Linked DNA regions of Diceros bicornis minor. The protein of the gene in region 2 purifies or fractionates together with the protein of the main gene of each other region. This does not show direct contact. Links are inferred from orthologs where the notes say so. Each region holds a gene or a part of one and is shown on either strand. Other genes may lie near its edges.

What was found. Proteins that work in one complex are often made in the same cells at the same time.
Region 1: the proteins of PRKAG3 (region 2) and PFDN6 purify together in Homo sapiens (affinity purification with mass spectrometry; 3 studies listed by BioGRID and IntAct, with this or other methods). This does not show direct contact. The link is inferred for Diceros bicornis minor from reciprocal best matches to the Homo sapiens genes PRKAG3 and PFDN6.

The regions. Positions count from the first base shown.
Region 1 is NC_080753.1:31,169,728-31,179,682, reverse strand, and holds PFDN6 (prefoldin subunit 6), read left to right. Parts: upstream 1-6,533; 5' UTR 6,534-6,745; coding exon 6,746-6,809; intron 6,810-7,041; coding exon 7,042-7,112; intron 7,113-7,193; coding exon 7,194-7,318; intron 7,319-7,569; coding exon 7,570-7,699; 3' UTR 7,700-7,958; downstream 7,959-9,955. Other genes in the region: WDR46 (WD repeat-containing protein 46), read right to left, coding at 3,663-3,762, 3,941-4,076, 4,209-4,359, 4,445-4,549, 4,816-4,877, 5,016-5,103, 5,228-5,340, 5,493-5,573 and 2 more; RGL2 (ral guanine nucleotide dissociation stimulator-like 2), read right to left, coding at 9,100-9,311, 9,438-9,552. UniProt on the Homo sapiens protein: Binds specifically to cytosolic chaperonin (c-CPN) and transfers target proteins to it. Binds to nascent polypeptide chain and promotes folding in an environment in which there are many competing pathways for nonnative proteins.
Region 2 is NC_080776.1:9,183,824-9,194,707, reverse strand, and holds the start of PRKAG3 (5'-AMP-activated protein kinase subunit gamma-3), read left to right. Parts: upstream 1-6,308; 5' UTR 6,309-6,356; coding exon 6,357-6,389; intron 6,390-6,896; coding exon 6,897-6,936; intron 6,937-7,417; coding exon 7,418-7,573; intron 7,574-7,920; coding exon 7,921-8,324; intron 8,325-9,696; coding exon 9,697-9,778; intron 9,779-10,256; coding exon 10,257-10,315; intron 10,316-10,434; coding exon 10,435-10,480; intron 10,481-10,643; coding exon 10,644-10,698; intron 10,699-10,884. UniProt on the Homo sapiens protein: AMP/ATP-binding subunit of AMP-activated protein kinase (AMPK), an energy sensor protein kinase that plays a key role in regulating cellular energy metabolism.

The DNA.
Region 1 (9,955 bases), on a different chromosome or scaffold from region 2:
TATTTCTCTTTTACAGATAAGGAATCTGAAGCTCAGAGAAAGGAATTCAGGGTGAATGGCAGAGCTAGAATTCAAGTCAGGCCTGTTTCTCTAGTGTCTGTCCTCTTACCTACTGAAGACATGTGAACCAAAGGGAGAACGGACGGAACAATCTGTATCTAACTGTGCTGCTCCACCGCGCGCACAGGCAGCATAGCAGCTCAGCGAAGGGAAGGACAGACTGCAGGGGGCAGGGAGCACTTCGTGGGAAAATTGGGATTCTCAAGAAAGCACAAGAAACAGAGACACAGCAGGTACAAATGACTTAACATCAGAGTGTGGACATAGTGAGACAGAGGCAGAGGTTTGTTTTCAGGATTGGTGGGAAATATGGTCAGGAGGACCAGGAGGGGACAAATTGCAGGGGCTCTTGAAAGTCATACTGAGGACTCGGTCCCCAACACTGCTCTCCAGCACGACAAGACACAAGTTGAAGACTCATGGACCTGAGAAAACCTCCTTAGGAGTTAATGATGTCATGTGCTAGAGGGCCCTGCCCCGCCCTCTCTTTCCCTGGAAGGAGGGAGGGCAAGGCTGGTGACCAAATCCTCCAAGGAATCCTGCACCGCAGAAGCCGTTTGCCTTCAGAGGTTGGAATTTCTATCTATGTTCAAGTTCTTCCTCAGAGACAGAGGCTGAAGGGGACCAGCCAGGCCGGGGGATGTATGTTTGCCAAGGGTCAAGGACTCTCTTTCTAGCCTTGGCTGTGAACCCAGGAGGAGGGGACTGAAGTGTTCCTATGAGCAGAGACTTGCCCTGTGATGGGGCCGAATAGAGGCCCAGTTGGATACTTCTCCTGACAAGACAAGACAATGAGGGCCCCAGCTCCACCAGAAGGAAAGGCTATAAGCGCAAACCAGGAATTACTGAGGGCTCCTGGGACACAGGGTCACACCCTTCAGTGAACCAACAACTCAGGGGCACATGCTGGCTCCTCACCCCATACCCACCCACCTTACACACAGGGATCCCCTGTGCAGATACCAGCCCGTTGGCCAGATGGGCATTCAGGCCACGCTATCATGCTACCAAACTTGCAAGAAACAGTTCGGCTTTGAGAACCCAATCCAATCCTAATGCAAGCTCCCAGAACACCTCTTGAGGAAGACAGTAAGCCTCATCTCTGGAGCCTCTGTGGCTTGTCTAAGGCGCCTCTGAGGAGAACCAGAGATAAGCAGGGGTGTGCCTAAGATCAAGGCCCAGAGCTGTTCAGCATCAATCGTTGACCAAACCTCAGTGAACTAACTGATTAAGCCCTGGGCACAGGAGCAGCTGACCCAGGCGGCCCAGGGAAGGCCAACTACTTAGGTCCAGTGGCCCACAGAAGGCAGAAAGCCTTGGGACAGGCCTCCCCACTCTCCCAGAGCCAGGCTGCCACAGATATGGAGTAAAAGGGCGGAACCAAACCACTTGTCCACCAAGACACAACTGTGGGAGGCCAAGGGGGTCTGAGCAGCTGGAAGGCTTTCATAAGTTGGTGGCCACTGGGCTTTTCCTTTTCTTGTTTTTCTTTAAAAACAGTTTAAAAATAAAGTTATGTAGTTTATACCTAATGTAGAAGATGCCTGGGCAGCAGTGTAAAAGGAAAGCAGCTTGTGGGAAAGATTATTCTGACAACACACCCGGGGCACGCCAGGAGGAGGAAGAACTGGAGGCTGGAAACCGGCTGTGAGCATCACGCATGTCCGCAGAAACGGCAAGGATGGAGAGAACAGACTTGGAGGACCCTCGAGGGGAAAAGCAGTCAGGACGTCACGGGGGGTAGTGAGTGGTCATGAAGTGATACCACCAAAGCAAGTAGCAGAGCCTGGGCACCCAGAATGCACTCAGTGAATGGTGCTTTGGATTCCTGCTATTACTGATGGCTGAAGAACACGGGCTGTGAGGCTAGAGGTGGCAAAGAAGTCATATTGTGGGTGACAGGAAAATGTGGCAGAAAGGGGGCAGGCAAGGAGGAACTTTGGGAGAGAGGTGACCTATCCCTTGATGGACGCATGCAGTCTGGGGTGACAGAAGACAACTGAGTAGAACCTAAGTGCGTGACCTGGATAATCATTCCTGTACCACAGCCACCTGTTTTTGTAAATAAAGTGTATGGAACAACACACTGGGACAGGCTTAATGGCCGATTCATCCTTATACCCCCAGAACCTCAGTGTAGAGCCCAGCCCACACCAGGTGCCTGGTGAATGCCTGACAGATGAAAGGAATTAGAGGAAAACACACGGGAACTTGTACGGGAAACAGTCTGCCAGATCCAGAGACACATACAGATCAGAAGAGCTGTGGAAATGCCAAAGCTCTCTCAGAAAGAGCAGAGATTCAAAGTGGACCCACCACCCCCACCCCTCACAGCACCAGCCAGACCTAAAGAGCACGATCATCTTCGCTGAGGATGAGGATGAAACATGGTGCACTCCGTTCACCCCGCACCACGCTAAACTCTACGTGCCTTACCTCACTGTAACGCCTACAACAGCTCTATGAGCTAAGCCCAGGGCTGGGCAAACCACAGCCCATGAGCCAAATAAAGCCTTGCACCACCTATCTCTGAACAGCCTACAAGAGCTAACATCCATGCCAATCCTTCTCTTTTTGCTGAGGAAGACTGGCCCTGAGCTAACATCCGTGCCCATCTTCCTCCACTTTACATGGGACCCCCGCCAAAGCATGGCCTGACAAGCGGTGCATCGGTGCGCGCCCGGGATCCGAACCCGCGCTGCCAGCAGCGGAGCGCATGCACTTAGCTGCTACGCCGTGGGGCCAGCCCCCCTGGTTTTTACATTTTTAAGTGGTTGGAAAAAAATCAAAAGAAGGATATTTTGAGATGTGAAAATTAAACAAAACTCAAATTTCAGTGTCCACAAATAAAGTTTTATTGGAACACAACCACATTTGTTCATTTACTTGTTCTGTGGCTGCTTCTCCGTTACACTAGCACAGTAGAGAGGTCAAGACAGACACTGTGTGTGGCATCTTATCGCTTCCCACTGCTGCCCAGCGCATGACAAGTCTCAGTGACATGGTTATAACTGACAGCACTTTGAGCACCTCACAGACCACCTGTCTCATCATCTATCTGTGTGAAAAGATGTTTCCAAAGATGAAATATAGAAAATCTCTTTACAGATGAGCATTAACAGACAAACATTTGCAATTTAGTTTGGTGATTTGGAACACTAACCATGAACCTCAATTAAGCAAAATGTTATCTTCAAAAAGAGGAATCGAATTCTTCCCATTTGTAGACCTATATTACAAAGATTTTGTATTAAATCATTATATTTTGAATTTCATTGCTTAAAAATTTGTGCTTTGTTGTCTCTGTTGTTATTTAAGTACCTACATAATACCCTCGATTTTGCCTCTTGACCAGCAAAGCCTAAAATATTTACTACCTGACTCTACAGGAAAAATGTGCTGAGCTAGACACTCATGTCCTCACTCCCAGGGTGAGGAGAGTGTGGCACAGAGAGGTTGTGTAACGTGCCCACACTTACACGGCTGGTCAGTGGTAACAGCAGGATTTAAACCCAGGCAGCTGGCTGCAGAGTCTGTGCTCCTAAAGACACATTGACTCTATGCCTTTCTTCCCAGCTGTGACCCCCAAACAAGTGACTTACGTGCCTGTAGAATCTACTGCCACAGCCCGGACCCCACCACGGTGACAGAGAATCTTCGCCAGTGGCTCCTTCACAGCTGGACTCCATAAGGACACAGTACCTGGACATCAGAGGAGAAGAGCTGAAGTTACTAACAGGGCGCTGAGGTGATTAAACCTGAGAAAATGGGGACTCAACGCCAAGAGGTAACAAGAGCGGGAGGTAAGTACTCATGAAGTACAGTATAGAAAAAAGCAAGTCAGCATGGTCAGGGAGTCAAAGCCCAGCCAGGGACGCACCATTGCTGTGTCCAAGATGGATGACGGCATTGGAAGGGTTCTGAGTCATGACGTCGAGCCGTCCAGCCCGAGCATTCAGAGCTGCCACGATCTTTCCCACTGACACGTCCAGGTAGGTCAGAAACCCTGTCTCTGACTATGAGAGAGAGAGAAAGAGAGGAAGAGAATGAGTCGTGATTGCCCTCTGTCCTCCCTCCACTGTGGTCCCAGGGGAAGGGCAGTCTTCTCCAGGGCTGCCACCAGGTCCCTGTGCTCCACAGCCACTCACAGCTGTGGCCAGGAGGAAGTGGAAGGGCAGGAACTCAAGCCGCGTGACTCGGTCACAGCGGCGGATGCAGTGGAGCTCGATGCCCTGGTTGTCGTAGATGTGAAGCCAGCAGTTCTGAGCAACAGCAAGCAGTGCCTCCGAATGCAGAAACCTGGGAGGACGGGAGAAGTGGTTCAGTGGGAAAAGGCGTCACGGGCTGTCACTCAATCAGGGATGGGCTGTCTCACCCCACTGACCGGATGTCCCGCACGGCCTCCATGACGTTGATCTCACACATGAGCTTCTTTGTCACCCAGTCAAGTGCGGCCACATGACCCCGGCGCCCTCCAAAAGCCAGGTGTCTGTTGGAGGTGGGGTATAGGCACGGTGTCAATGCAGGGGAGCACCCTGACTCAGACCTTTTGAGGTCTGCCCCACGCCAGCTCCTCCTCTCCAGGTGAGAGAAGAGATGTTGCTACACATGCTCTCTCTCACATGCAAGCAAATCACAGGACCCTCCCCACTCAACACCCCAGACATACGCTGGTGTGGCTGAGGTGGGCTTGGCTGACGTGATAAAGAGACACCGCTATGTCCTAGTTCCAGAGTCACTGGAATTCAACCTTACCTCCCAGTTCGAGAGTAATTCAGCCTGTAGGGTCCAAACTGTCTCAAGTTCAAGTCAAAATGCTGGGAAAGGGAAGAGCAAAAAGAAAAAGGATCATGAAGAGCTGGCTCCCTTCAGTAATTCCCTCTTCTAGTCCCCATGTCCATCTTGCTCTGCTCCACCAATCAACTCACTGGCCCCTTTTCCATCCTCAGGCTCACCTTGGCTGCACTTGCAATGTCCACAGCCTCCACGATGTCGGCCTGGCGTATCTTTGCCGTGTCCTCCCCATCCTCCCCTTCCAGAAACCTGCAAGTGAGTGGTAAGGTTGCAGCAAAGCTTCCTAATATGAAGTGGGTGTACCAACATAAAAAGGAGAAAGAAGAGTGCCATAAAGCGGGGGCTGGGGAGGCCCACATTAGGGTCCACTTACCCAGGTTCCTCAGCAAGCAGCAGCTCAGAACGAGCAGCTTTGACACTTATCTCCTCTTCCTCAGCTTCAGCCACCTCAACTCGGCTTCGGGTTTTGGACTTAGAATGTGGCAGCTATAACATCGTTGGTGGTAGAGAAGCGCGAGAAGAACCAGCAAATATGTGGAGTCACAAGACAGCCACCTGGTCCCGCCTCCACTCATCTCACCCAGTCACTCCCTGCTTGCAACCCCCCCCCGCCCCCCTCCCCCCCGGCTGGTCCTCACCTTTTTGGATTTGTCAATGCGACAGAACTTCTGAGCCACCTCCACAGGCACGGGGGCGGGGCCTGGAAATGGATCCTGCGCCTGGGGCAGGGAGGAGGCAATTAACAGACAGGCTCGAGGCTCGGGTTAATCCCAACCCTCGCAACCTCAAAGCCCAAGGCGACTTGCCCCGCCACCCGATCCGGTCCCAGGCTCACCCCGGACAAGCTCCGCTGAGGCTCCGGATTTCTCCGTTCTCGGGATTTCTTCGGGACCTGGGGCTTCTTGGAGATCCGAGACTTCTTTGTGATGTAATTATTCTTTAGCCTCTGGGGGCGGAGCTCTCGATTTCTCTTCTTGTTCTGAGGGGGGCCTGGAGAGGCTGCGGCAGCTGTCGGAGTGGTCTCTTCCTCCCAGTATCGCCGCGGTTTCTACCGGCAGATCAGGATCCCTGATACTCCGCTGCCCGCGCCCCGCCCCTCCGACCCCGCAGTTAAAAATTTCCCTTCCACCCCAGGGAGGTCTCTACCTTCTTCTTGGCCTGAAGTTTGTCCTTCTTGGGCGGGACACCCCTTCCTGGCTTGGGGGCCGTCTCCATCTAGCCCACCTGAACCACGATCCACGTGCAAACTTCTCTCAGCTGTCCAACAGTCCGCTTGAAAACTCCCGGAAGTCCTCTGGCCGTCATCCAATCAGCACGCACCGGGTCTGAAGCCTTCCAGGCGCCATCTTGAGTGAGGGCGCGCTCCCCAGGGAGGTGCGGGGCAGCCTCGCCCTCGCCCACCTGAGCGGCAGGTTTTGCCCAAGTAATGAAAGAAAGGCAAATCCGGGGCCAGGGCACAAGGAACGAGGCAGTTTCTTTTTCCAGCTTCGTTTCCCCATCTTGCCTAAAACCTTCCGAGTCCAGTCTTTTTAGCAGAACACCATTCATTAAACATGTCAAAACTACAGTTCCCGGCATACGTCAGAGGACAGCTTCCGGCGCCGTCTTTTCCCAGCATTCTTTGTTTGCTTCCGGGTTTATTAGTACTGAAGGGAGAACGTGAGTAGGGTAGGGTGTCGGTTGAGGGGTCTGGGGTCTCGTTTCGCCCGGCACCTCGTGGGGCCGGGGTAGAGTCGATATCCGGGACGGAGAGAGGCTGCGGTGCCCCGAGAGGCTGCCTCTGAAGAGCGCTGTCATTTCCGCAGGCCCGGCCAGAAAGGGAGCTCGGGCACGTTCCAGAGTGTGAGACCCAGTGCCCCTCGCCCGCTCGCCGCAGGCTTCCGTCCCCGCCATGGCAGAGCTGATCCAGAAGAAGCTACAGGGAGAAGTGGAGAAATACCAACAGCTACAGAAGGGTAAGGGGGCAGGGTCGGTGCAGCCTCGCCCCAATCCCCTCACTCGCTCAGAACCCAAAGCCATCCCAAGATGTTTTCTGCCCCACCCAGGCCCCCGCGTGCAGCCCCTTCTCCACCCACTGACCCGCCGTCCCCATCCTTGTCCACTTCCTCAGCTCCATTTTCTGATTGGGAGGGATCAGGGGACACATTTGTTGATGTCTCTAATCAAGTCCTTCTTCCCACCCCCCAGACTTGAGTAAATCCATGTCAGGGCGGCAGAAACTTGAGGCACAACTAACAGAAAATAATATCGTGAAGGAGGTGAGAGACTGGGATTTGTGGGGCGAGGAGGGACCTGTAGTGGCAGTGATTGTGATCATATATATCCCATTCTTCCATCAGGAACTGGCCCTGCTGGATGGGTCCAACGTGGTCTTTAAACTTCTGGGTCCTGTGCTGGTCAAACAGGAGCTGGGGGAGGCTCGGGCCACAGTGGGGAAGAGGCTGGACTACATCACAGCTGAAATGTGAGTCTTTGTTCCACTGCCCTGTGATGCATCTGACACTGTTGGAGTAGGGGTGTTGAGGAGCCATTGTAGAGTAGCTCTTCAGGGTAGCCCCCACTTGTCCAGTTCCTCTAACCCCTTCCCTTTTAATGCTGCTTGTCCTTCCCCTAGATCTCAAGTTTTCCACCAATCTCTTTCTTGTCTGCAGCACACTCAATAGTAAGTCTCCCTCATTTCTCATTTGCTTTTTTGTCTCTCTTGCCTCTCCTCAGTAAGCGATATGAATCCCAGCTCCGGGACCTCGAGCGGCAGTCAGAGCAACAGAGGGAGACCCTTGCCCAGCTGCAGCAGGAGTTCCAGCGGGCCCAGGCAGCAAAGGCAGGGGCTCCTGGGAAGGCCTGACCCTGTGGTGGGGGGGCGGGGAGGGGAGGGAATGAGGCAGCTCTAGGATCTATACTGTAGCTAATAAAATGTGAAAACTTCTAGCTGTTTCCTGACCAGACACTTCTGTGGTAATTCTCCATCCATTCCCCCCGCCCCTTCCACCTTATATATATGTCACCTACATTACTCCCACAGGTCCAGATTCTTGCAACTGGAATCTGTCTGTGGTAGAGTAATCGTTTTTTCTTTCTTGAGACTAAAATCTCTCTTAAACTTACTACTTGCCTGTGTATACAACCCTTAACTCCCTCTTATCTTTGTTGGCACACGTCTTTAGGAAACATGGGAAGGGCATTTGTAATGCAGGAATTGTTGGGAAAGGCAGTTTAATTGAAGAACTCACAATTCTCTAACCTGAAACCCCAGGCTGAAATGTGGTGACCCTCCTTGCTATGGTTACTTGTTATCCTCCAAATAGTCCTGGTGTCTCTCTTAGTTCTTTTTAGCCTCTCTCTTCCTAGAATTTGTTTGAATGTAGCTTAAACTGATTTAAAATCCCAACATGTAATGCTTTGTGATGTCCTCTAAGTTTGTCCATTGTCCACAAAGTTGTTCTTCCATTTCTTTGTCCAAAAATCGTTTCTTACAAACTTGCAGCCAGGGGAGGTCTTCATACTGATCACTTTAATTGGGTGGCTAGTACTTGACATGGGTCTGTGACAAATGAGGAGAAAAATTTAAGAGCAAATAAAGGGACCGGGTTAGAGAGGTTGCTGGGGAGAAATAAACCATTCTGAGGAAACCATTTTCACCAGCACCTCGCTTTCAGCTCTTCATGGGGATAGAAAACACTGGGCTCCTTCTTGTTCCATGGTGTCTACCTTCAGCCAACTCCCCACCCCTACTCCCAGCAGCTGGTTCCCATGCACTGCAAGGACAGGGGGGTAGAATTCAGGTAGTGTTTTGGTTTATTATCTTAGTGTTGTCACAGTGACATGAACCCCCACAGTAGGAATAGGAACTCCTACAAGAACCTACTTTGTGCCATCCCCTCTCCCCAGGGCTCAGAGCCTCTAGGCTTTTCCTCTCCCCTTAATTCTAGGCCTTGCCTTGGCCCTTGGCATGCTAGGATGTGGCCAGGAATCAGAAATTGACCCCCTTTCCCAGTACTAGGCGTGTCGTGCATTCATAGAAATTGGGGAGCTGTACACAGGTTTCCAGCTTGGTTACCAAGAGTACCAGTTCCCACAGGGCTGGATCCCTCGGCTGTCTGGTAAACTAGCAGCACTTCACTGCCCCAGGGTGGTTGGCCACCTCTCTGGATTTCTTCCCAATGCGACACAACTGCCATCATTCAGGATGCCTGCCCACGTCTGGTATGGCCACCATGAGTTCTGTGAGCCAACAGGGCTTCCTCCTCAGAACAGTGCCCGGGCAATCTTCCTCCCTGTGGCCTTGATCCTGGGAAAGGAACCCCCTCCTCCCTCGCTTGGGGGAGTTCCTGAGGCAGAGGAACTGCCGGTGAGGCCCAGTGTAGTAGTCGAGGGCCTTCGCCGTTGCCGCAGGAGGAAATCGTGTGAAGCTCCATCCATAGCATAGAAAACATTAGCCGAGGGTGGGATGGTCAGCTCTGTAAGTTCAGAGAGGGGATGTTGAGCACAAACACAGTCGTTCCCCCCACATCCACCCAGATGTGGAAGCTTTCCCACTGGTGGGCACCACTCTCCTGAGTCTGCCTCCCCTCGTGGCCTCTGACCTCGCTCCCCTGGTAGCAGCTGCACTAGCTCATACTCCGAAGCCACTGCAGAATCACGATTGTTTTTCTTAAGGACACGACTGATGACACTTGGAGCCTTGTCCTGGCTTGTCACCTGGCAGGACAGGAGACCAAAAGAGCAATAAATTGGCCATGATGATCTCTACTTCCCATCCTTTCAACCCTAGCCACTGATCCCAACCAAAAAAGGTTACCCGTGTCCAGCACTTGTGAGTGACCAGGGAAACCCAATATGGTGGCTCCCTGTCCTCCACAGGCCAGCCCACACGGTGCCCAGTGAAACAGGGCTGCTTCCCTGCAGGGAACTGCTGTTGGTTCTGAAAACCTAATATGGCCACCAAAAGTTCAAGGAGCAGCAGCTAATGCAAAGTAGCCTTCAAAATAAAACGGCTGCGAAAACCAAGGGTCAGAATTAAAACTAGAATCATCCTCTCATTTGGCTCTTCAAACCTAAGACAACATCCATTGTCCCACAGGGCACCATCCTTCACCCCCCA
Region 2 (10,884 bases):
CCAAAGAACCTGAAACCAACAATCCAAAGATGCTTATGCACCCCTATGTTCATTGCAACATTATTCACTGTAGCCAAGAGGTGGAAGCAACCCAAGTGCCCATCAACTGATGAATGGATAAAGAAGATGTGGTATATATACAATGGAATACTACTCAGCCATAAAAAAAAAAAACAAAATCATCCCATTTGCAACAACATGGATGGACCTTGAGGGTATTATGTTAAGTGAAATAAGCCAGACAGAGAAAGACAAATACTGTATGATTTCAGTCATATGTGGAAGATAAACAAACATGGGTAAAAGAACAGATCAGTGGTTACCAAAGGGGAAGGGGGTGAGAGGGGAGGGCAAAAGGGGTAAAGGGGCACATACGTATGGTGACGAACAAAAACTAGACTATTGGTGGTGAGCATGATGCAGTCTATACAGAAACTGATATAATAATGTACACCTGAAATTACATAATGTTACAAACCAATATGACCTCAATCAAATAATTTTTTTTAAAAAGATTCTGTTGGTTAAAGTAACTGAAAAATGCAGTGGTGGGTCTTTAGGTAGAGTTTGATCCAGGGGCTCAGTGATTGTCAGGAGGATCTGGTCTTTCTCATCATATTATAGTTCTTTTGCCCTCTGTTCTCATTCTCAGGCAGCTAGCTCCACTCTGCATGGTAGAGGAAACTCCATACTTGCATTCTCACAGCTCCAAATTCAATGGGAAAGAGCCCCAGCAAAAATCCCAGGATTCACGCCATTGGACTAATCTGGTTAATGCCCTCTTCTCTGTGGCCAAGGGAATTTGATGTTCTGATTGACTAAGTCTGACTCGGAGGTGTAGTTCCTGGAACCCACAGTCAAGCCTCTCTGAAAACCATATGCTCTGAGATTGGAGGAATTGTGGTTCCTTGAAGGAAAATTTAGGGGTTTGCCAAAAGAGGGGTAAAATGGATACTGCGTACACAAGAACGCCATCTGGCCACTTCAGTCTCCAGCAGCTCCCAGAAAAAGGCTCGGTAATGGGGCCTGTGGGGCAGACTAGATTGCATTAACATGGTGCTGGTTCTGTCCAGGTCCTCGGGACACTGGCGTAGATGCTGCTCGGTCTCAGCCGCACAGATAGGATGGGAGCTGGATGTCTGGGTGATTGACGTGAAGGCTGCTCTCACAGCCTCACAGCCACTCTGCTCCAGGGGACCCCATTTGTGATTTGTCAGTAATGGGTCTTCTCCCTTGGCTTCCTCAAGCTGTTTTTCTTTCTCTGATATAAAAATAACACTTAAACAGGATCCTGATCCCATGTCCCAGACAAATCAGCTATCCAGAGATAACAGCCAAATTCACCCTAGGGTCAGGGTGCAGTGTCCCTATTACACCCAGTTTTGAGAGTGAGCCAAGAAGTAGGGTTTCAAGAAATATGACACCATAACCGGAGACTAAAATCCAACACCCAAGGAGTATCTATTTCCCAACCAAAGCCAGTACTTTCCACTGATTCGTCCTGCCAAAGAGGATGAGTAGGGCCGGGCTGGCCGCAAGAGCAGGTGTGGGGCTCTGTGAGGCAAGGAGCAGGGGCAGCGCAGAGAGCTTCTGCTTTACAACCACCAAATCACAAAGACCTTAGGGTTGAGCAGCGCTGGTGTCTGCCCGCAGCTGGAAGCCTCCTCCATCCCACCCTTGTTGTGGCCTTGAGATGGCTACTGAGGAATCAGAGCTTTCAGAGCCTTGTAGCTGGAGATCTAGGGGGCCTGGAAGCAGGTGCCGAGCTAACAATTATAGTAACCACTTACGGAGCATGTTTCACATGCCAGGCCTGTGCCTTACTTACATTAAGCTGGGTGGTTAAGAGTGTGGTGTGGGAGTCCGTAAGCACTGGATTAGACCCTCGGCTCCATCACACCAGCTTTGAGATTTTCCTCAAGTTACTAAATCTCTCTGTGCCTCGATTTTTCTCATCTGTAAAATTATACTAATAACAGTATTTACCACTAGAGTTGTGAGGGATTACATGGCATACTGCTCACACCGTGTTTCGCAGGGTCTGGTAGATATTAAGCACTGCATCATTATATACATTTGTAATTTCTAACCCTGCCCCCATCCTGCAATGTAAATGCATTAGTTAGAGAGAGGCTTGGCTGCTGTAGCAGAGGGTCGATTTGTCAACGGCTTAAACAAGATAGAAGTTTATTTCTCTTTATAACATAACAGTCCAGAGGTAGCCAGGCCAGTATGGGAGTGGGGAAGATTCTATCATTTTCAACCTGCATCTCCCACCCTTGGGTTCCAATGGCTGCTCCAGCTCCTGCCATCTTATCATAATTCCAATCAGTAAGAAGGGGAAAATCTTCCTTTAAGGTTGCATATAATGTTGCTGCTCAGATCCCATTGGCCAAGCTGAGTCACATGGCAGTGCTAGCTGCAAAGGAAGCTGGGAAATATAATCTTACACTTAGCTAAAATTGTGGGGATTTACTAGTAGAGGAAGAAGAAGGAGAGAATAGACACCGCTCTGCCAGAGCCCACCGGCTGGCCACCCCTCACAAAGAACACATTCAGCATCCCTCGAAGGGAGGCAAGGCAGGGTCCCATCCAGACACAGCACAGCTCAGAGCCCAGGATCTCTGTGGAACTGGGTATGGAGGGGGTCCTCATGGTCTAGTGACTATAAACCGAAAGGCAGGAAATGGGGCCCTTCCACTCCCCGTAGACACCAGTGGAGGAGGAACAGGATGAATAAACTCAATTAAAACATCCACTGGGAACAGGAAAGCACGGCAATCCCCCGGCGGTCACGGGATCTTAACAGTTTTGCAAATTGCAAAGCTGCTTCCCCCCAAGTGGAGTGAGTTCTTGGGCAACGCATCTGGCCGCCCCTGGTTCTGCTCTCTGGGAGGATCTGCCCTTTCTGCTCTCCTATGTGGCCTCTGGCGTGGACTCCTGGGAAGTTATTCCTCACCCATTATCCTCTGGGGCTGCACTGGAGACCATGTCCCTTCTTCTTGCAGACCTTACGACTTGCACAGCCCTCTTCCTGCTAGTGCAGATTTGGGGTGTTGGGGATAACTGGGGGCTCAAGCCAGGCTGTGCAGACCAGGTGTATGGTTTCTTTGCCAACACAACACCCTCGAAATCTTAGAAGGCTTCTAATTGGTTCCATATTTGAGTAACCACAGCCAATGGACTCATTTGACATAATTTTTACGCTTGAATACTCTGGACTTGGTGAACTTTCTAGTCTCTCTCCAAATTCTGTGCCTGTCTTGAGGCCATCTGAAAAAATATGCTTGGCTGTGAAGGGAACTCCCTTATTCTGCCCACTGGGCCGGCTCCCACTGTCTCTAAACAGGGTGCGCTTGAGAAAGTTTTGGGACCACAGGCACAGTCCTTGCTACGGCTGTGTCTTCCAAACCACCTCTCAAAACCAGCCTGCGTGCATCTCGCTTGTAGGACTTTGCTAGTAGCAGTAAGCAGCAGGCAATACGCACCAATGGTCTGAGTGTTTCCATTCAATTTCTGTGAGTTACAGGCTCTGTTAGCATATGATCACCTCTCAAGGCATCATAGATGCCAGACATGCCGTTTGTTTTGCTATAACAAAGCAATAGTCACCAGCTTACCTGCATGCAATATTTTTCTTTGCTACCTGCTGTTCCGTCTCTGAACCAATACCACTTGTTTTAAGCTTTTAAAAAAGTGCCACTTCCCGATACCAAATTCTGCATTAGTTAGGATATGTGTTTGGTTGCTGTAACAAAAACCCAATTTAAGAACGACTTAAACCAGAAAGTTTATTTCTCTCTCATATAATAGTCTGTAGATAGTCTAAACCTGGTAGGGTGCCTCCAAAACTCTCAACAAGCATCTTTCATCTTGAGTACAAGGTAGCTGCTCTAGGGGCCAGCCCCATGGCATAGTTAAATTCAGCATGCTCCACTTTGACAGCCTGGGTTCGGTTCACAGGCGCAGACCTACACCACTTGTCAGCAGCCATGCTGTGGTGGCGACCCACATACAAAATAAAGGAAGATTGGCACAGATGTTAGCTCAGGGTGAATCTTCCTCAGCAAAAAAAATATAAAAAAAAAAAGATAGCTGCTCTAGCTCCTGCCATCACATTAGCATTCCAGACAGCAGAAAAGAAAAAGGAAGAGGGGAACTCATGCCTCTTTCTTTTAAGGTCTGACCTGAAAGTTGTTCACATCACTTCCCCTAACATTGTAATGGCCAAATTTAGTCACAAGGTCATATTTAGCTGTAAGGAAGATTGGGAATCTAAGTCTTTATTATAGGCAGCCATTCCAGCTAAAATCCAAGCGATTCAAGGAAGAAGAGAAAAATAGATACCGGGAGGCAACTGGCAGTCTCTGGCGCAGAATGTTTTTATCCTCATTTTACGTTCGTGGAAACAGGCTCAGAGAAAACAAGCAACGCTTTCCAAGGTCATATGGCAAGCAAACCACAGAGCATGAATTTAATCAGGTCCATCTGACCCCAAAACAGGCTGTCCATCATATCCAGCCAACATATTTTGGTCATCAGGGTGCCTGCTGTTTTACTTAGAGACAAAAGATATTGACACGTGAATTGTTATGTAAATGCCAGCCCAGCGTACACTGAGACATGCACACAGCACATGCTCTACAAGGAGAATGGTGCAGTGAGGGGGATACGATCAGGGAAGACTTTTTCTTTTTTTTTACTGAGGAAGAGTGGCCCTGAGCTAACATCTGTTGCCAATCTTCCTCTTTTTTTGCTTGAGGAAGATTTGCCCTGAGCTAACATCTGTGCCAACCTTCCTCTATTTTGTATGTGGGTCGCCACCACAGCACGGCTGATGAGTGGCGTAGGATCTGAACCCTCGAACCTGCGCTGCCGAAGCAGAGCAAGTCGAACTTAACCACTACACCACGGGGCCAGCCCCCAGGGAAGACTCTGTTGAAGAGGAGCCCCTGCTACTGTCCTTGTAGATGGAGCATGTCTGAGGTGGAGGGGAGAGTGGAGTATCGCAGGAGAAGGCAGTCGTGTGAGCTGAGCCTGTTCTGTGTCTGGCTTGGCTGTGAAGGTGGCCCAGAACATAAGGGGGTGGGGACTTTCCAGGTCTGATGCACCGCATATCTCCAGGCATGGTCCACTTGATCTTTCCACCATTTGAGGTGTCCTATTAGCTGTGCCTTAGAAGTTCCATCATCCGGGACCAGGCAGGAACAGGCCACAGGGACGCTGTGGAAGGAGGGCTGCATTCACCCCCATGCTATCCAAGACACACGTGGAAAAGCTAAGTCCCTTCCCTGCTCTGTCCTCCTCCACGCTCCCCAGAGGCAGGACAAGGGCTTTGAGGAATGGTGGGAAATACGTTCAATAAATTCAGCAAGAAATCCCGTAATTCATTACTGAGTGGCTGCTCCAGGGCCAGAGCCTGGGATGGAAGAGGCTGGAAGGAGGGGAGGACGGGAGGGGCAGAGAGAGGGAGCTGGAGCAGCTGGGTCAGCAGCATTCCTGATTTGGACATTGACTCAGGCCCCAGGAATGCCAAGGAGGGGGGGCGGGAGCAGCCGCCAGAGCCGGGCAGGGATCCTGTTGGCACGAGGAGATACAGGGACAGCACAGAGTGCAGGATGGGGGAACTGGGGCTCCTGCACACCTGGCCCAACCTCCAAACCACAGGTAGAAACAGGTGTGTCTCCCCCGTGGACAATCGCAGGCCCCAAGCCCTCGAGCACACCTCTAAGGTGATCCTCGCAGCTCCCCACCCGCCCAAACCATCCCCCTCCAACGCCTCCAGCAGAGAGAGGGACGGTCTCCTGGGACTCAAATGGGGACATCTGGACACACACTGGCCACTCTCCCGGGACCACCCACAAACCCCTTATCCCCACCCTCCTAGCTGGCTGCAACTCGCCCTTTCTAACTGCAGCACCACCCACCACTGAAGTTTGTACAGGGAAGAAAGTTGAGGTCAGTCTGCCTCCATTTTGCCCCCTCTGGCGCCTGACAAAGATGAGAGGCCCTCGGGGGGGAACTCAGGACCCTGAGAGCCCCCTCCTCCCGCCCCAGTGCCCTCGCCATGCTCCAAGCCGCCTCCCCCACAGCAAAGGCCTTCTCGCTTGTCCTGGGAGACCCAGGAGGCAGTCCAGGACCGGGCATGGAGATGCCAGGTGCGCCCCTTCCCACCCCACCCCGCCCCCAGGCTGCTGGTCTGGAGCAGCTGAGTGGCTGGACCCTCCTTCCCGCCGTCTGACACCCAATCAGAGCGAAACCGATCTGGGGAGGGCAGAGTGCCAGGGGCCGGGCCCAGAATAGTGCTGCCCAGCCACCGTGTCCCACACTTGCTCTCCGTTGATCCTGTTGGCTGCATGGAGCCAGAGCTGGAGCATGCACTATGCGGGGTACAGGGGTCCCAGGGGGCCGGAGCTGGGCGGCTGAGGCCAGAGGACTGAGAGCACCCCTCACCGTGTGAATGCATGCGTGTGCGCGCGCGTGTGTGTGTTTGGTCTGGATTTTCTCTGTGCTTATGAACATGTGGGTGTCCGTGTGTGTATATTCTTTAAGTGAGTGAGTGTATGCGGTTCTGTGTGTGTCTGGTAAGGGTTGAATATGTGTGTTTCTGAGTGTGTATAAGTGTTTGTGTATGGATGTGTGTGTTTATGTGTGTTTGTGGGGGGGGTGTTTACATGTGTGTGTGTTTATGGTGTGTGTGTGTTTGTGGGGTGTGTGTATGAGTATGTGTTTGTGGAGTGTGTGTATGGGTGTGTGTGTGTTTATGGGGTGTATGTGTATACATGTATGGGTGTGTTTGTGTGTGTGTGTGTGTTCATGTGGTGGGAAAGGAAGGACCTGTGGTTTGGGAACAGAGGACATTGTCCCCACTCCCTCAGACATTCTTCTCCCTACAGGCCCCATCCTGGAGCAGCCTTGGGGGACCTGAGCATCAGGGTAGGTGGGGCTGCCCCCTCCTCATGGGCCCAGCTCTTCTCCCACTTCCTTTGTCCCCCACCTCTCTGGGCCCCCTTCCTCCCCGACTCCACTAACCAGCCTTTTGTCTTCCTCTCCTTCTCCGTCTTTGTTCCTCTTTGTTTCTTCTTCCTCCGTTCCCTCACCTCCTCCTTCCTCTCTCGGAAGAAGAGAGGGGGGATCTAGAGTCTGAAGACTTGGACCCAGCCCTGAATTTATCACTTACTAGCTGTGTGATTTGTGGCAAATTGCTTAACCTCTCTGATCTCAGGTCCCTCATTAATAAATTAGAGATAATAGTAATGCCTTCCTTGTAAGATCACTATGAGGTTTGAATGAGAAATGCATTGGAGAAAAGAACCTTTGGAAGCTTGCAAATGTTAAGTATTATTATTAATAACATTTTAATTGATTTTGTTGTGTTACTCCTTATTAACCAAATGGGCCCCATTCCCCCTTCCAGAGATGAGCTTCCTAGAGCAAGAAGACAGCATTTCATGGCCATCACCAGCCATGACCACCAGCTCAGAAAGAAATCCTGGGAAACAGGGTACTGAGGCCTCAAGACGGACAAAGCAAGAGGCTGTGGAGGCGGGGGAGCTGCCAAGCCCGGGGGAAGGTAAGACCAAGACCAGTTCTGGGGAGATGGGAGCAGAGGCAGTGGGAAGTCCCGGAGCCTGGGGCCAGGGATCCCTCCATACACAGAGGTGGACCCAACCCTCATCTTGTGGGTTTGGGCTCAGTCTCCCCATCTGGGAGAGGTCAACTGCTTTGTAGAGCCAGGGGCTCAACACAGCCAACTCAGAAAGATGGGACAGAGCCGCTATCTGGTGTGACTCTCTGAGACTCACCTGCAAAATGGGGGCCCCAGCATCCAGGTTACCCAAGGCCACTGTGAGGATGAACTGAGACAGTAGATGAGAGAGTGTTTTGGAAGATGGAGTTACTGTCCTCTCCCCCAAACAGGTCCACAATCCAAGCCAGCTGCTGAATCCACCGGGCTGGAGGCCACATTCCCCAAGGCCACACCCTTGGCCCAAGCTGCTCCCTTGGCCAGAGTGGACACTCCACCAACAGAGAGGGACATCCTTCCCCCTGACTATGCAGCCTCAGCCGTTGGCTCGAGCACAGATGATCTGGATCTGGGCATAGAGTTCTCAGCCACAGCAGCCTGGGGGTGTGAGCTCGGCCTGGTGGAAGAGAGGCCTGCCCGGTGCCCATCCCCGAAGGACCTGTTACCCAGGCTGGGCTGGGACGATGAGCTGCGGAAGCCAGGGGCCCAGGTCTACATGCACTTCATGCAGGAGCACACCTGCTACGATGCCATGGCAACCAGCTCCAAGCTGGTCATCTTTGACACCATGCTGCAGGTGAGGCCACCACTCGCCCCACCTCCATCCTGATGGCACTGCAGCCTGTGTCACATCCTCAAGGACACCCTGCCAGGCCAGGCCCCCTGCAAGATCCCTTCCAGGACTCCTTCTTAGAGTCATGGAGACCAGTGCGGGGAGAGCTTCTACTCTCTCCTCCCCAAAATTGTCATGGCAGCTCTGCCACTTATCTCTGTAGGATCTTGAGTTGGTTACTTTACCTTTCTCATCTCTAATATGGGGATAGGAATGCCCACCTTGCCCTACAAGTTTCAGAGGACTCCTGGGACAACCCAGGATAAATGGGAGCACTTTGCAAAGTCCTGAAGTACGTGGAAGATCTGGCAGGGTGACTTAGGACAAGGAGCAGGGGACTGCCGGTAACAGAAAAACAGGATGCGTTCTGGTCCCTGCTCTTCCGTTGGGCTGAGCTACGAAACGCCTGATTCCATTCTTACCATCGTGTATATCAGAGCGGTGTTGCCCAAAGCATGGCGTATGTATCGTCCACGGGGCACAATTTGATTGTAGTGGTATATGAACAGATATATTTCTTTTTGGAGCTTTGTATTTATTTTAATATGTATTAGAAAAATACAAGCAGCACCTATAGATAGTATTGCTTAGGATGAAGCTAAAATGAGTCAATGTGAAACTTATTTAGAGAAAAACGTTTTGTAAATATTACATAAATCATTACCAGCCCCAGTGGTCTAGTGGTTAAGATTCGGTGCTCTCCCCACCGCGGCCCGAGTTCATTTCTGGTCAGGGAACCACACCACCCGTCTGTCTGTTGGTTGTCGTCCTGTGGTGGCTGCGTGTTGCTGTGATGCTGAAAGCTATGCCACCAGGATTTCAAATACCAGCAGGGTCACTCATGGTGGATAGGTTTCAGCGGAGCTTCCAGACTAGACAGAGTAGGAAGGAGGACCTGGCCACTCGCTTCCGAAAGAAATTGGCCATGAAAGCCCTGTGAATAGCAGCGGAGCATTGTCTGATAGAGTGCCAGAAGGTGAGAGGATGATGCAGAAAGACTGGACAGGGTTCACTCTGCTGGACACAGGGCCGCGAGGAGTTGGAATGGACTCTATGGCACTAACAACAACAAAAATGTAGTTAAAAATACCTCTAGTACTTAGATTAGCAAAAACTATTCTGTGTGTGTCCACACACATATGACTTCAGGGTGGAAATACTGAGTTAGTTTCCCACACCTTGGTGTGCCTGCTGGAGGAGTCATCAGGGTAGCAAATGTGGGTGACAAGGATCACGTCTAGGGGGTGCCATGACGTGAGAAAGGCAGGCACGTGGGACAGGGTACCACTGAAGCGCAGTGAGAAACTCACCCTCGACTGTTCTCCCCGGCCCTCAGATCAAGAAGGCCTTCTTTGCGCTGGTGGCCAACGGCGTCCGGGCAGCACCTCTGTGGGACAGCAAGAAGCAGACTTTTGTGGGTGAGGAGGGGAAAGGAAAGGAGGGACCTTGTGAGGCAGTTCTGGGGCTGAGCTCGAATGCACCACAGGCTCAGCAGACCCTTGGCTGAGCCAGTCAGGGGCCAGTGTGGGGGAATGTTTGAACCTGGTCTTGGGGTGGCCACCTGGGAGACCCCATCTGTGAAGAGTTGTGACCAGCCGACCCCTCCAGCTCTGCTACCCCATGGTCCCATGTCATAGGTGCTAGGTAGGAAAAGAGGAAAGGGAGAGGAAGAAATTAGGAGAGTGGGAAAGGGGAGAAGGAGAGGAGTTACATGGGAAGTGTACAAGGGAGAACCCCATTTCTCAAGTGTGGGAGGGGCAGCCCTTCTCCTCTTTCCACAATTCCCACCATTCCCACCGTTGTCTCAGAACTGGGACTGCAGGGTCTGACTCCTCAACCTGCCTCCCACCACGGACCCCAGGCTGACCCCCTGTACCTCCCCTCCCAACCCCGCAGGGATGCTGACCATCACAGACTTCATCCTGGTGCTGCATCGCTATTACAGGTCCCCCCTGGTGAGAACTGGACTGGGAGTCCCGGGGGCACCCATCTCCGCTGGGGCAGAGGGGAGTTCGGGGAGCTTGGTGCCCGAGGGGCTCACGTCTGATTTCTGGAGTCCTGTCGATGTCTCTAGGTCCAGATCTATGAGATTGAAGAACATAAGATTGAGACCTGGAGGGGTGAGCGGGCAGAGGGGACCTGGAAATGGGCTGAGGGTGTGTGGGTGAGCATGGGGGTTTTCTGGAGGGAGCAGGGGAAGGGTGAGAGGGAGCCCACAGGCTGGGGGCTGCCAGGTGAGGCGGGGCGGCCAGCTCCCTTGGACTGACCCGGCTTTTCCTGCAGAGATCTACCTTCAAGGCTGCTTCAAGCCGCTGGTCTCCATCTCTCCCAACGACAGGTAAGCGCGCCCAGCAGGTCACCTGAGCCTCCTTGCCCTGCACAGTCCCCTTGACCAGCCCTTCAGTTCTGAGCTCACCAGCTCATCCTTGGAGACCAGGCAGCCTTGGCACCCCGTCCTCCTTTCTAGGGTGCTGGGGTGGGGGGTGTCTCTCCCCAGACTGCCCCAGGCTCACTGCTCCCACCT